2 linked regions of the Coturnix japonica genome follow. The protein of the gene in region 1 binds, or shares a complex with, the protein of each later gene. Links are inferred from orthologs where the notes say so. Each region holds a gene or a part of one and is shown in the gene's direction. Other genes may lie near its edges.

Evidence for each region. The genes of interacting proteins can lie anywhere in the genome.
Region 2: surfeit locus protein 1 (region 1) and CMC1 share a complex: the UniProt entries of both Homo sapiens proteins name them as parts of the MITRAC (mitochondrial translation regulation assembly intermediate of cytochrome c oxidase complex) complex. The link is inferred for Coturnix japonica from reciprocal best matches to the Homo sapiens genes SURF1 and CMC1.

Annotation. Positions count from the first base shown.
Region 1 is NC_029532.1:5,411,193-5,419,560, reverse strand, and holds surfeit locus protein 1, read left to right. Parts: upstream 1-3,465; 5' UTR 3,466-3,531; coding exon 3,532-3,594; intron 3,595-3,781; coding exon 3,782-3,860; intron 3,861-3,980; coding exon 3,981-4,108; intron 4,109-4,240; coding exon 4,241-4,323; intron 4,324-4,411; coding exon 4,412-4,603; intron 4,604-4,753; coding exon 4,754-4,826; intron 4,827-5,125; coding exon 5,126-5,288; intron 5,289-5,569; coding exon 5,570-5,651; intron 5,652-5,851; coding exon 5,852-5,918; 3' UTR 5,919-6,298; downstream 6,299-8,368. Other genes in the region: SURF2 (surfeit locus protein 2), read right to left, coding at 776-859, 1,581-1,750, 2,320-2,523, 2,674-2,777, 2,944-3,098, 3,286-3,372; RPL7A (60S ribosomal protein L7a), read right to left, coding at 7,031-7,135, 7,591-7,660, 7,897-8,027, 8,276-8,355. UniProt on the Homo sapiens protein: Component of the MITRAC (mitochondrial translation regulation assembly intermediate of cytochrome c oxidase complex) complex, that regulates cytochrome c oxidase assembly.
Region 2 is NC_029517.1:35,703,256-35,710,357, forward strand, and holds the end of CMC1 (COX assembly mitochondrial protein homolog), read left to right. Parts: intron 1-1,772; coding exon 1,773-1,863; intron 1,864-3,399; coding exon 3,400-3,514; 3' UTR 3,515-4,551; downstream 4,552-7,102. UniProt on the Homo sapiens protein: Component of the MITRAC (mitochondrial translation regulation assembly intermediate of cytochrome c oxidase complex) complex, that regulates cytochrome c oxidase assembly.

The DNA of each region.
Region 1 (8,368 bases):
CAGCTTGTTCTCTGTGTCCTGTCTAACTAAGGAGCTGGATGATGGACTAGTCTGGAATACTGACCAGTTGCCTCTGTGAAAATAGAGTTCAACTTCTAATGAAAGACCCCAGAAAAGGGAACTGTTACTGCCTGAAGAGGCACGGTAAGGTGGAGGGCATTATAAGGTATTTCTAGGCAGCACAATATGTGGACTTAAGAGCTGTGAGTCCTGGTACAGAAGATTCTGGTATCTTACATACACTGCTGTATTCACACATCTCCCTAAAATACAGTGACCTCCCCCAATGGCTGAGAAACAGGATGTCAGCTATCAATTGGCTCTGCAAAGCGTTCTGGAATTCATTCTGAATATATTTTTGCTTTCTATGTGGAAAAAAAAATAAGTATAAATTCTCATTTTATGCTGTATTTTGTACCTTAGTTGTGTTTGAAAATGTTTTGATTTTTGAAACAATCAAAATAAAAACAAATGGCATCTTTGTATCCACTTGAAGTGTATGACTAGTGACCCTTAAACATGTGTGCTTTTTCTCTTCATAAACAGTTCCAAGCAGTGGCTTTGCCTTTATGTTACTGTAGTGGTAGTTCTTGTTTTGTTAGTAGTGGATGGAGAGACAGCGTTAACACACAGTTTAATTCCCCCTTGCTACTCCTCCCTGCTGTACCAACTAACTGCTATGGGCAGCAGGGTTTACAGGTGAACGCTTTGGTCTTGTGCACCATCTGGAACTGTTTCACAAGAAGCTTCACGCTGCATTTTTATCATAAAAAATTTATTTACCATTGGTTGTTTTCTTGAACTTTTTGGGTTTTTGATGACAGCTCTTGAATTTTTTCTTTGAAGGGCCTGATTGTTTCTGTAGAAAGAAAAAGTCAATCAGCTTTTTCCAGGAACTAAACCCAGCCTTGCCCCCAGGCTGCTTAAAGAGAAATCAAGTGTGTTTTCCTTTACTAAGAGACAGAACAAGCACAGCCCAGGGCACAGGGTAAGCCAGGGTGTTTTCTTGCCCTGTCTTGTGAGTTAGCATCTCTGACACATATATGTTTTCATTAGATGCAAACAATGACCCTCTCCCCATAGAAATAAACAGCCTTAACTTTCAATGTTGATAATGATTAGAAAGGCTCCAGTCCCTCCCGTAGGGTTTCCTGAGAGAGTTTATTCACCCTCATGTATATAATGTGTCTGTTTCCCTCCTGTAAGTGCACCCAAAGGCAGGACCTGGTCAGCTCCTCAAGTGGAGGACTCCAGGACTTTGAGAGAGTTCAGCTTGTGTGTGTGTGGAGAGGAAGATTACAAAACCCACAGTCTCACTGTAAAGATAGTGCAGCAGGATTCAATTGAAGATATTTATACAGGAAGTAAGAAACCCAGTTGGAGCAGACAGGATAAACATTTACTGCTACTAATTCACACCTCAGGATGCAAGTCTGTGGCTGGCACATGGAGAAAGTATTCTCCTAAATAGATTTACACCTTCTGCTGATTCTCAGACAGGAACAGATCAGACAACCACCTACAGGATAGATGATGGCTGTTCATGCTCCCCATCTGCTACGCACAGCAATGACTCCTACCTTTCCCCTCTTGCCAGCTGCTTTGCTCACATCCATTCTTCCACCATCTCCATTCAGGTCACCGTTCTCCCTGCTCAGCTCGGCCCCATCATCCTCGCTGTCTGTTGCAAAACCATCGTTGGCCTCTGTGTTTTGTGGAGCTGCTGGGCTTTTTTCTGGGAAGAGTCCAGCTAAAATACAAAGGTTTAGCTCAGGATCAGTTCTTTGTGCACACAGGCTCTGCTTACCCCGAACCTTATTTTCTACTCATCTAAGCTGACTTTGGCCTGCAAGGATCAGCCCATCATATACGTCGATACTGAAATACTCAGTAACAAACACGCTTAAGTTTTATTAGTAAAATGCCTGGGGCTTTCACTAGCCCAGTTCTGGGAACCAGGCAACACAGGCAGATCTGGGATCTCAAAGCTCTGCTCTCCTACAGCAAGGCAGCATTGTCCAGATGTGAGTGGAACAGCCTCACCAACTCCTGTCAGGCTGGAGGACTCGCTGAGAAACAAGGCAAACAGCGATATCTAAAGTGAAGACCCTCCCCTCATACCTTATGGGATCCAGCTCTGGTATTACTGTGTGATAACTGCTATTTCACATTCAGCATTGGCAAGCCTCTTCCAAATCCAAGAACCTCAAACTGGATGGAGGTCACATATCCAGAGTGTGAGCAGCCAGCAGCAGTAGAAAGGCTCTGTGAGAGAATGAGCTGACAGACTTGCTCTAAGATCGCGATGTTGTTACTCACGTGGGTACAGATCACTCATGCTGTCGTCCGTCTCCTCTCCATCCTCATCCTCATCCGTCCTGGGAGAGTCTGGCTCCCAGAATTCTTCTGTTCTGTGAGGTTGCCTGCTCCCATTCACCTGGTCCTCATCATGCTGTCTCCGCTGCTGCTTCTGCCTCAAGCAGGCAGGGACGTACTTCACCCCTTCCTTCTGGCACTTCTCATCTGAAGATGCAACAGATTGAGCAGCACTTAGCAAAGCAACCCAACCCTCGAGTCCTATTTACTTCCAGGCCCACATGCAACTCAGAAGCACGTCAAAACTTCAACAGCTCAGGGGACAAAGCAGCTTTAATGAAGGTACAGCCCACTCACATGCCTTCAGTGCCTTCTGATAGCGTTTCCCTTGGACGTGACGCAGGACGTGCTCTGGAAGCTTATTGATGTGTCTGAGGGTGAGTTTGCAGAACAGCTGATGTCTGAGACACACATACAGGAGAAAGAGCCACAAACACAGTTTAAACAAACTACTTAATAATAACCTTTCACTTAAAACGAACTGTGCTGTGTAACAAATAAAAGATTCATGTGCTCAGGAACTCCCTAAAGCTCAGCCACAGAGACTGAACACACCTGAATACCTACATATTCTTTGTGCTGGGCACTATATGCGGCTCGAAGCTGCTATAATCAAACTCTCTGGACGTCTTTATCAGCCGCCTGTACTTCCTACCGTCGGTGTAAGCCTGCAGCTCCTTCAGCCGGCACGGCAGCTCGTGGCCCGTCAGCCGGCACCGCACCTGAGAGCGAGGAACCTCCATTAGAGCCCAGCGATGAGCCGGGGGGGGGGCCCTCCTCAATAACCCAACCCTATTTACACCGCGAGAGAAGCCCCTCCGGCCTGAAGACTGAGATCAGCCTCGTTCCCCTCACGGCCCCAGCTCCACCCAACACCCCCAGCTCCATCCTCGGACCGATCCTGCCCACCTTGCCCGACTCCTCGATGCTGAGCAGCGGGTGCTGCCGCAGGAACAGCCGCACCTCGTCGGGCACCTCCGGAACCACGTCGGCCATGGCCACGCCGAGCTGACAACCGCAAGGACCGATCTGACCATAGAGAGGCGCTGACAGACAGGAGCCGCCTCACTTCCGGTACGGGTTCCGGTACCATAGAGAGGGGGAGCTAGAGGGGAGGGGACAGCCTGGGTGGTGGGGGGGTGGCGGTGTTGCTTCATGGCGACGTGGGGGCTGATGCTGCGAGCGGGGCCAAGGCTGCTGAGGGAGCGAAGGGCCCGGGTGAGAGCTGAGGGCAGCGGGCAGGGCCGGGGTGGGCTCTGAGGGGGGCAGACAGGGTCTGTGAGGGCTCTGAAGGGGATGGGAAGGGCCCCGCTGGGCACCGAGTGATGAAGAAAGAAGTGAAGGCGCTCGCCCAACATTTATATAAAGGCAAATTACAGCATTGGATGTTGTATTGCTCCCTTAGGTATCGCTTTGCTTGCTCAGAAGGACGTTGTTTGGATTGCCCCGAACCAAAGTGGGTTCTGCAGTGACCCAGCAGAGAGGTGAGCAGAGATCTGTGTGGGGTTCTGTCGCTTTCAGCCTCACACCAGTATGATGTTTCCTAAGGAATTTAGCACCTCTCCTCCTGTTCCTGTCCGCTGCCTCATTCTGGCTCTCTGCAGATGTTTGCCTGAGGCTCTGCAGCCCACGAAGCTCCACAGCAGCCACCGGTGCATCTAGTGAGGACATCTGGCTGAAGTGGGGCCTCCTCCTCGTGCCCCTGACTGCATTCTGTCTCGGCACATGGCAGGTATCAGCATGTATTTCATTCATCAGAGATGAGCACTTTGGGGCTGTAAGGTTTCAAGCTTTGTCTGTTTGATATAGATCGTACCATAGGCAGGGTAAAGAACAGGAATTACTGTTGTTTGTGTACTTCTAGATTCAGCGTCGAAAATGGAAACTAGATTTGATCGCACAGCTGGCATCTAGACTTTCATCAGAGCCCATCCCTCTGACATTAGAGTAAGGAAGCTGAGAATTCCATAGTGAAATCCACCCATGTAATTTGCCTATCACAGGTGTGATTTTCATTTCATCTTGCTCTCTGCAGCCCTATGGAGTTGAAGGAATTGGAGTACAGGCCTGTAAAGGTCCGAGGGCATTTTGATCACTCCAAGGAGCTCTACATTTTACCACGGTCACTTGTGGACCCTGAGCGAGAAGCCAGAGAAGCTGGAAGGCTGACATCCCATGCAGAAAATGGAGCAAACGTCATTACTCCTTTCTACTGCACGGATCTAGGGTGAGTTAAGGCTCTCCCTTAAAATGCATCTGTCTCTTAGGTGCTTGAGTCTTGATTCCAAATTGTATTTGCAATTCCTCATAGCTGTAGACAGCAGCACGAATTTTCTTTAATTCACAAGGCGTTTTTCTCCTGTTTATGTAACTCTAGGGTCACGATTTTAGTCAACAGAGGATTCGTGCCCAAAAAGAAACTGAAACCAGAGACCAGGCTGAAGGGACAGGTAAGAGGGATACAGGGAAACCTTGCATGTTACTTTCTAACCTCTTGCCCACTTCTAACAAACAAAGACAGGCAGCAGACACATTCAGCTTCCTGAGTCACTGCGCTTCTTAGAGGTGCCTTTTCTCGAAGCCTTTGATTAAGGAAATAAGGCATCTGCCTTTTTCCCTGCTGTATTACAGCACTGTACAGCACAACCTGCTGGCTGACTTGTAACCAGACCTGCAGGTGATGTACTACCAGGTCCTGGTATGTTAAGAAATGAATCCCAAGAGATTCCTTTTTTTCTTCTTGTTTCAGATTGAAGAAGAAATCGATCTCACGGGGGTGGTGAGGTTATCAGAAAAAAGGAAACCTTTTGTGCCTGAAAATAACGCTGAAAAAAACCGCTGGCACTACCGTGACCTGGAGGCCATGGCAAAGGTGACCGGTGCTGAGCCCATCTTCATTGATGCAGATTTCAGTAAGTCACAGAGAAACCCAAATCCACAACCAACTGATGACAGTCTCCCCCTTTTCCCCATCATGTATTTCTCCTAAGGCTTTTTGAGAGGTATTGTACTAAGTTCACTGTACAGGGTTTTGAAGGTACAGCTGCTGGCTTTGCTGCTAACTTGGGAACACCGCTGCCCAGAGAAGCGGGCAATCTTTGTGACCTACATCACACCGAGCTGCTCACTTGGCAGAGCATGGGCAGCTCAGGGCTTTGCAGACCAAACATCTGACGCTGTGCTGTACCTACAGGAAGCACAGTCCCAGGAGGTCCCATTGGAGGCCAGACAAGAGTGAGCCTGAGAAACGAGCACATGCAGTACATCATTACCTGGTAAGCTACCCAGGCAGCAGCGTCTGACCTTTGTTTTCTGAACATGAAGCCTTAAAATGCTTTCTGTTGAATCCACTGAAAGCAGGGAAATAATTTTCCCCCCAGCATTCTTGCTCCCGTATCAGGGGGATTGATGAGATCTTCAGCTGCAAACTGTTTGTATATGTTTGGATGATGTATTTTCTCACTCCTTGTCACAGGTACGGCCTGTGTGCTGCAACTTCCTTCTTGTGGTACAGAAAATTCATACGAAAAGTACCTGTATGAGGGGAAGGATTCATTCCTGCTCTCCTGTAATACAGACAAGACTGCAGCCAGATCAATCCTGAAGAGCTCAGTCTCAGGGCATGGGACGTAACAGCTGATGCTGGCAGCAGTTTGAACATCAGGATTAATGGTGGGTGTTGACACACTTACTTACAACAGCTTTGTGATCATCTGAAGGATGCATTTTTCTATTGTATTTGGGTAGTTTGGTCACAAGCTACAAAACCTTTTCTTCTCCACTGCTGTATTTTCTATATTCAGTCTAAACAAATCAGGGCAAGGGATTTGATCAATCCCTATTTTTCACCTAGCAGTCGTTCCTGAAGCCAAGATGGGGGCACTGCAGTTCCATCAGGATAAATAAAACAGGCCTGTTAGTATTTGCCTTGTGATTTGTTGCATATCTTACAACTTAACAAGGGGACAGATCTGAATTAAATGGAACAACTGCAGACTCCAGTTTGACTAAAGAGAGTGTGTAGCTTTACAACATTATCGGGGCTGGCAGAAATAACTAAGAGCTGCCTCAGCTTGGGCTGACAAGAATGCCACAAGACCAAAGCCAACAGTCAGCAAAGAGCTGGAGTAGGGTTAGATACTTCTTCCACTCCTTTAGTGTGCCTTCACTGTCTGGTCTTGTCATAAAAGAGACATTACAAACCTATAAAGGTCCTGATTTGCTTAGTTCTTTTAAGTGTCACAACTACACAAACATGCCTTTATTAAATCCATGCAGTAATTAAGGCTAGGCACTAATGATTTACAGCTATTTCCAAGTCAGATATCTGCATTCCTAAGCTAGGCTTAAAGCCAGAAATAGCCTAGCTTAGCCCATTCAGTGTAGGAGCACCAGTATGTGCAGCTGTGGGTCTATGCTTAAAGGAGGCAAACAGATGGCTAGCTTAACAGCCAAGGGAAACTGTTCTAAGGGAAATAATGTGTTCTTTGCTGCCTTCTATGCTGTTCTATCCAACCCTTTGGATAAGAGAAGGCGGGTAATGATCATTCGCAACCCACTGATTGCAACCCTCATTAATAAGAGACCACTAAAATTTGATCTGGGGATTTATTCTTTTTATGTACACAAACCATGGTACCAAATCAGTACATCTTTAGCCCAGCTTAGTAGCCAGTTCTTTAGCCTTTGCTTTTTCAAGCTTGGCAATGCGAGCAACAGATTTTGGACCCAAGACGTTACCACCCCAGTGACGACGGATCTGCAAAGAAGGAAGAACAAGTTGAAGTTAAGAGTCTGCATACATTCAACTGTGCTCAGTTCCAATCCTTCATGACAAAAGGTTGAACTCCTACTCACTCATTTTTAAAGCAGTGAATTACATTCTGGGAGCAGCACAGATACGACAATTGAAAGCCTTTCCCTATCATGAGATTTGCTTCAGGACTTCAGGGATGGAATCACGTCTAGCTGAAGCAGATCTCTTTACATTCATGTCCTTGCATTAGGCTCTGTTTACCTCTTTCTTGGTGACAGTGTTCACTTTGTACCCCATCCTCAGGTAAACTATCTGAATACCTAAAAAACCCCTAGCTACAGTCTACACCCAACAGGCCTTAAGCTGATCTCACTCCAAAACAGAAATCTGCATCTTACTGAGAAACTATTGGGGATGTTCATAGTATGAACCTGAAAGACAAGGGCCACACATCTTACCTCATCATATCTGTCATTGTAGTTGGTCTTAACAGCCTCCACCAGCTTTGCAAGGGCACCCTTATCCTCCCTGTTGGGGACAGATGCATTTCTTTAGAGCATCAGTTTAATGTTTTCTGTAAGTCTTCTGTCTTGGAATTAACTCTTAATACGAACATCATTTTTCAGGTTAAGTATAACAAAAGGTTAATCACAAAAGCCATCAATGCTTAGAGTTCAGCTTATACATTTAATAATAACGCCCTATTTAATAAGCTAAACCTCTAGCTTCAGGATCTGAAGCAAATCAGCACACAGAATACTTACGGGTTAACTTGGGTGAAAGCAACACAGGTACAAGTTTTCCTGTGCACCAGTCGCCCCAGCCTGGCCTTGCTCTTGATGATGCAGTATGGCACCCCCATCTTGCGGCACAGAGCTGGCAAGAAGACCACCAGCTGAAAAGAGACAGAGCGTGCTGTATTGCTGGTACAACATCTTAGTAGCGTTTCAGCTGGCCTGGGCTGTGGCAATTGCTCAGTGTTAAAAAGCTCGTTTTGCTCTTCATTATTGATTCAGGTGAAGAAATTCATACATCATCGCAAGGGCCAAGCCTCATTCTAAGTCCAAGGAAAGTTTGAACGTCCATAAGCATTTGAGTTCCAACCTCAAGTGGAGTTATACAGGCAGCCTCTACCGTGCTTACCTCAATAGGGTCTACATCGTGGGCGATCACCACAAGCTGAGCTTTCTTGTTCTCTACCAGAGTCGTGACAGTGTTAACACCTAAAAAACAAAT
Region 2 (7,102 bases), on another chromosome or scaffold:
AGACTGGGCTTGCTTGCTGCTGTTGGGTCACTTTCAAGTCACGGGTGTCCATGATTCTAGGAGGTATGCTTTGCCCCACTGACGTTATAGTTAGATTAATGCCTATTTTAGAGGGGAAAGGACAAAGGTCCGAGCAAAAGGTAGCATTTTTTCTTGATGGTTTTTGTAGGCAGTGATCTCTGGCTTTTGGAGGGCTTGAAGAATATGCCCTATGAGGAGCAACTGGGGGAACTGGGGCTGTTTAGCCTGGGGAAGAGGAGGCCAAGGGGAGGCCTTATTGCTCTCTTCCAGTATCTGAAAGGCATTTAAAGTGGGAGCGGTGTCAGGATGAGGGGAAATAGCCTCAAGTTGTGCCAGGGCAAGTTTAGGTTGGATATCAGGAAAAACCTTACACAAAGGGCAGTTAAGCACTGCAGTGGGATCCCCAGGGAGGTGGTTGAGTCAGCATTCCTAGCCGCTCTAAAAACCATTTGGATGTGGTACTCAAGGACATGATTAAGCAATGGGTTGTTAGAATTAGGGTAGCATAGTGAGGTTGTGGTTGGACTTGACTTGATGATGTTTAAGGTCTTTTCCAGCCTGAGCAATTCTATGATTCTATCCCGTTCTATGCCGTTTACCATTTGCATTAAGTTTTGATGTTACCGGATTAGCTGTAAGTAAGTATTACTAAAGATGTTTGAACATAACGATTTTTATATGACCTAAATCTGATGCATTTAAATAATTATCAAGAAAATCTTGGATATGAAGAAATAGGTGGAATTCTGGAAAAGGACTTTGTTCTTGATTTGGTTGCTGGTTATGTTGGACTTTATCTCCGTACTTTTCTTTTTCCACCTGTTAAATGCAGATAGTTGCTAACCTAGAGTCCTCATAAGAGATAGATGATTGTCTCTCCTCCCTTATATATTCTGTTGTTCCAAAGATCATAATTCCAAGAACTTTGAAGGTGATATTTTCAGGGACAGTGCTCCTTTCTTGGCCATTTGGACTTACTTTAAAGAAGTTCAGTATCAAAGAACACCCAGAGGCTGCCACATGACACAGAGAAGATGGCAGTCCTCTGTGGAGTACTGTAGTGCCATAGAGCACAGTGTGGCAGTCCCAGCTGATTAACTAACTAACTGCTGCACTCCAGGAGAGAATCATGTCCTCACAGTTTCTTACCTTGTATCTCAAAGATGCCTTCTCAGAGGTGATTGATTGGCAGTGACATTCCTTTGAGACAGTAGTTGCTGTCACTGTTACTACACTCTTAATTTGTAGATGTAAATGTACTTTAATTACTCCAAAATAATTATTTCATTGAAGAGGAAATGCTGGCAATCCTGGCTTACCTAATTTTTCATGCTTCCTTTTGTTTTGCTGCGGTAGCCCTGAATAGTCGGTATGAAAAGCAGTCTAAGAATCATGGATTTGCTGCAAGAGTAGCTTCATAAATTTGTTAGTATTAGCTACAGCAGCGTATGCACACATTGTACGATATTAGGGGAGAATCCTAATTAAAATCTTGTTGCTCAACAAGCCACAAAGACCTTATAAATAGCATGAGGCTCCAGGCCAACTACAGCAATGTTAGTAATAAATCAGGTCTGATTTGTGAGGTGTTTTTTATTATTTTTACTTTTCACTATTTACTATATATATATACTATATATATTTACTATTCACTATTCCATACTTTTCCATGGAAAAGCATGCACACAGGGATTTTGATTTCTTTATTTTACAGTCATTTTTCTAATTCTGATGTTTTTGTTTTTCTATAGCATTTACTAAATGCTGCAAAGAAACTGGTTTTCTTATGGTGGTGAAGTGTCGGGAAGAGAACACAGCACTGAAAGATTGCCTCGTTGGCTAGTAAGTCCTTTCTGAGCCTTTGTTTTGCTCCATGTTTTTGGCTGTTCTAATGTAGAACTGAATAGAAATGCTAAATGTTCTAAAAAGGGCTTTGCTAACCTTGTGACTTTGGTTTTTTTCTGAAGATCATATCATCTTCGCTTTAGAAGAAAGGATGGTGGTCATGGGTTCTACCTGACAAGACTTAATTTCAGAAATAAAACTATCCTATGGCTAAAAAGGCCTCCTTGCATTTAAATAGTGCTAACGGATCCAGAATCTCAGCCCCAATGAAATGCAGCCCTGTACTCAGTGTGCTGAATTGGGGATGTGGGTGAACAGTGGAAGCACCTTCATATTCTGTTACAGAAACAGGATTAGATCATTCTGGTTTTACTTCTTGTACTGTCTTTCAGTATTTAGTCTTTACTTCAAAAGCATCCAGCAGTTGTTATCTGCAGTAGGAAGTTGTTAAAGAGGGTGACGTGATGCCATGATGGATTGAAATGTCTCTATTTGAAGTCTAATGTCCCTGCAGTGTCACTAGGCCAAAGTTATTCTTGAATTTCTTATTGTGGAGTTTGTGTTCTCTGAACATTATGTGGGTATGGGTGGATTGGGTTGTGATAGAATGCATGTCATATGTACACTGCTAAACCAGAGGTTAATGTTTAATGCCTTTAATGTAGTGATAGGTGGAGTTACTTGTTTGAGAATTGATGAAAAAAAGGTACAGCTACACAACAGACTTGAACCTTCAGAGTCAAGCTAGAGACAAAGACAACCTTTCTCTTGATAATGTCAAATCCTATGCCAGTTTGAAGACTATGGAGCACAGGGCCAGTTCTGACTGGATTATCCTACTACACCTACCATAGTCTGAAGGTGGCATCTTCTGACTTCCATCTGTTTGGGCTGATGAAAGATGGACTGCATGGACAACATCATAGCAGATGTGAAACAGTGCAATCATAGCAGATGTGAAACAGTGCAGACTTTTTACAAGTATAACATGACGTGCAGGCTTTTCTTCATCTCTGGTTAAAACTACATAGCTAACAGAAGTGACTACACGCAAGATAGCATTTTGTAGCTTAGAATTTTCTCTATCAAATAGCATTATTGTGTTCTTTATGTCTGTTGTAGTTTCCCTGGAAATAAATAGAAGACATTACTTTTGGATCTACCCACACACATTTACTGTTCAAGATGCAAACTCAAAATCGTTCCCCTAAAATTCATGTTAGGTTCGCAGGTGCATAAAGATCAGTGCTCTCCAGAGACTTATTTGCAGATAGGTTCCTATGTATAAGAAAAAATTATTTGGCTCTACTGAATGAATATTTCCCTTTCTTTGCTTTCCTCGTTATGGTTTCTCTGCATAGGCCTGAAGAATGAGAACTATGCCTCAAGAAAGAGTGTGCTCAGGAGAGAACACAGACCAATTCAGTATTTAGAGTTTAAGATGATAACTTTGGGTGGGACTGAAGAGCAGTTTTGAGTGCTGTTAATACAGTTTCTATTCTGTTATTCTAATAATGTTCATCTTTCTTTTAGCTATTCTGATCCATCATTCTATGAAGAATGCAAAGCAGAATATTTGAAGCAAAGAGAAGAATACAGAGCAACTGGAATTAAGAAAAAAAGGCAAAAGATTACTTCAAATATATAGTTAAAATTTAAAATGAACTGTTACAGTTTTATATCCAACTTAATGATTTGACTTGATTTAAACAGACTTTGAAATCATCAGTATCTTGTGGTAAAATTTAGCAGCAAGTCAGTAAAAGAAATATCTCTGAAGCTGAAGGTTCTCATTTTCTGTACTCAAGTTTATAATGCATGCAATTTCTCTTGCAAACCTTGACAGCAAAAACCTGCTCCTCCATCTGGACTTGAGATTTTGTTACCAATTAACAAACAGCCTTTTGAAATTTCAAGCTTGTATCTAGTTATACGTGGCAGGCTACATAAAAATTTAAGGGTGAACAAATGTGAGGTATATATGAAAACTAGTCTCTTCATCACCTGACATTGAAAGTACCTGGAAATATTTTTGATGCTCTTACTAGATGTGTGGTAAATGCAGAAGACAAGACCTTCTTGGACCAATTTACTTTTTCATGAAAGCACTGAGTTGTAAGAGCTCAATATTGCTTCTACCTGCACTGTGACTTAAATTCTGAGATTACAATATGAAAAGAGATGGATGTTTCATGTCTTTGTATGGCACAACTGACTGCTTCAGCTTCAGAGTCAGCTCCAGAGGAGAACTCAAGAGTTGTCCCATACGGCCTTTCCTTGAGAGTAGGAACAGGGCAAGAAATCACTGAGAAATGTCTTCCCCCACTATCATTTTTTCATCATGAAGATTATATACACTTCCATACTTCAGGAGCGACCACACTTGCACAATGATTATGGATGAGTAAACAAGTGAACTACATTCTTAAGATGCAGGTCAGTTTTTAAACATCTATTAATACTGTTGCAAAAACTAACCATAAACAAGGCCCTATATGGAAAGGGACAAGGATTTCTTGCATACAGATACTTAAAACTGCATAATTGTAGACCACTAAGTAGTATGAGTATGGAAAGGCCACACACAGGGTATTTGTTCACATAGTGAATTTCTTGTCACGATATTAAAAATGAAATAGAAATATCTTTTTCCTAATTAATAAATTTTGGAACATTTGCATTTAACTTAGGTACTATTTCACCACAAAACTATTACTGCTGTGAAGTTACTTAAGTGGGAAATTTCAATCAGACTTTGATATACTTATATATACATACATACACACACAAGCTGAAGTTAACTTTCAAGGTTACTCCTTGCTTTTGCTCTGTGCATTGTGATGGTACAATCAGTAATATTACTTCTGCTATGAGGCAGCACACTGTCTGAAAGTTTAGGGAATGCTTCAGAAAGACAGACTTGAAGATGTACCTGTATTCTAGGTAAGTAGACAAGTGGTATTCAGATGTTTAATTAGCTAACTTAGATGATGACTTTTACTGTTAAAAGTTTATTATTTTTTCAAGAAAGTTCTGTTATTTTAGTATGAAAACTGGCTACACTTAGAAGCCCCTGGAGAGAGAGCCTGTGTTTGTCATTTTTATCAAAGGCTCTTAGAGTTTGGTTCTGGGGTAAGCACATAGAAGCAGTGTGGTACACTGCCTGTGGTAGGTAGGTGCCAGCACTGAGGGCTCATAGGAATCTTGTCTCACTCAAGCTCACACAACAGCCAGTCAGTACAGATAATAGCACAGCAACACAGTCACTCTTTTGTGGCTTAGCAGAACCTACATTCAGCAGGTGGCAGGAACCCCAGTGCACTGATTGGTGCTGGTGATAGAAATAACATGGATAATGGGACAAAGTCCTTTTTTACCTGCAGGTGTTACTCCTCTGCCATTTTGTTACATGCTTCATGTGCACGGCTATAACCAGTCCCTTTGAGCTGACAGTAAGCAAGCTCACTTTACTATCAAGCCTGAAATTGCTGTAAATCATTCACTGTATGCCATTCACTTCTCTTTACCGACACATGTTTAAGAACCAAGTACCCACACCTTCCCTTGTTTGCTGTGGCATTCAGAACTGGGCTCAGCCCTTACCTATGAAATCAGCTTACTCTTTTTACACTCATAGCCTTCATTTGCTTTTTTCCTAGTTTTGAATTCTTGATTTCACACCTTTCGTGCTTTTAGTATATTAATTGCATTTACATCTTTTAAAGTTGAAATGAAAGTATGTAAGTGCTGTGCAGTGACACACACATACTAGTAAACTGCTTCAGGGCTTGTTTTAATTTGAGCTGCAACCTCTCCTTCCTACTCAGGTTAACAGGAAGTAGCCCTTGATTCTAATACAGGTAGTAAAGCATCAATAGTACCAATAAAGCCTTAAGCTATGCTTAAGTGAGAAGCAGGCTTGCTATTTGACTACACAACAAAACACTAAGCACACTCAGCTGTCTTACTCTGACTGACAGTAGTCAGACGTGGGTGATGAGGAAGTTGCGTTACTTCTAAGCAGAAGCCTGCAGCAAGTTACGAAGCTTCCACTGTAACTACTTTCAAGGGGACCCACATGCTGCTCCAGTTTAAAAACCATCCACCTTGTGGCACTAAAGACATAATTCTATCAGTGGTAATGACTGTCAGTATCAGTTCTGGCTGTCGGCCCCCCGAAAAAAAGTCAAATACAGTTGAAACAAATGGTTCATCCACTCGCAGTTTAGTAACAATAAGTGCCTGGTTATTTTTCATGCTTCTCCCCTGGATCAAACCCCATACTCAAAAACACCATCACCCCAACTACTACAGCATCCTCTTCCATTAAAAACACAGGTGTCTAAGATTTCCAAAGTCTACTGCAAGGAGTTTGAGATTTAATCATACCTTCTTTACATCTCTAATACAGCTCATATGCTATTATTTGCATTGGCTTCTGTTTTACTGTACCTCCACCAGATGTCCAGTACACAGCTTGCCTTTTTCCTGCTGTACAAGTTCGACAGCACATTACAGCTCATTTGAGAATTTGTTTTTCCTCAGTATGGATATTTCATATGGGAAAAAAACCACAATCTGTCATAAACACAATAAAACTGGTAGGGAGACTTAAAATGATGAGATTTCAAAAATACTTAAAAGGAATCGAGCAACCATGGAAGTTTACATACACATTATTAGAAGGTTAGTCCAACTCTGAAAGCACTCAAATACATATTCATCAACTTGCCATATGCTCACATAAACACTCAAGGCAACAACCACCGCCTGCCCAAAAGCTGCCTTTCATTTCTGTTCAGTAGAATTAGTGCTTTCTTAACTTAATAATTGTCAAACCTGTGGTTTAGGTCAAGTTTTCAAATTTCCAGTTTACCTTCAAATCAATTTTTGTGCTTATTTGATGGTATCGGTCCTCATCTCATGCAACGTTACTGCTTGATGCAACAAATACACACTGGCATACTAAACACCAGAACTCCTTTTCTACTGCTACTTCTGCATTTTATTTGCTGTCACTGTGATGGCCACCTTTCACTTCGGAAAATGGAAAACAAGAACCTTGAGCCACCAGTGGCATGGATTAAATGACAAACAGATTTTGACTTAAGATGGAAAGGTGAGCTTCAGACCAACAGATGCTTGTCAAGTGAGCAAGCTCCCAAGTGACTTCAGATCTGGGGACTCCTTTTGAAACATTACATTTTCACCACAGCAATGAGTGACTGCATTGGAA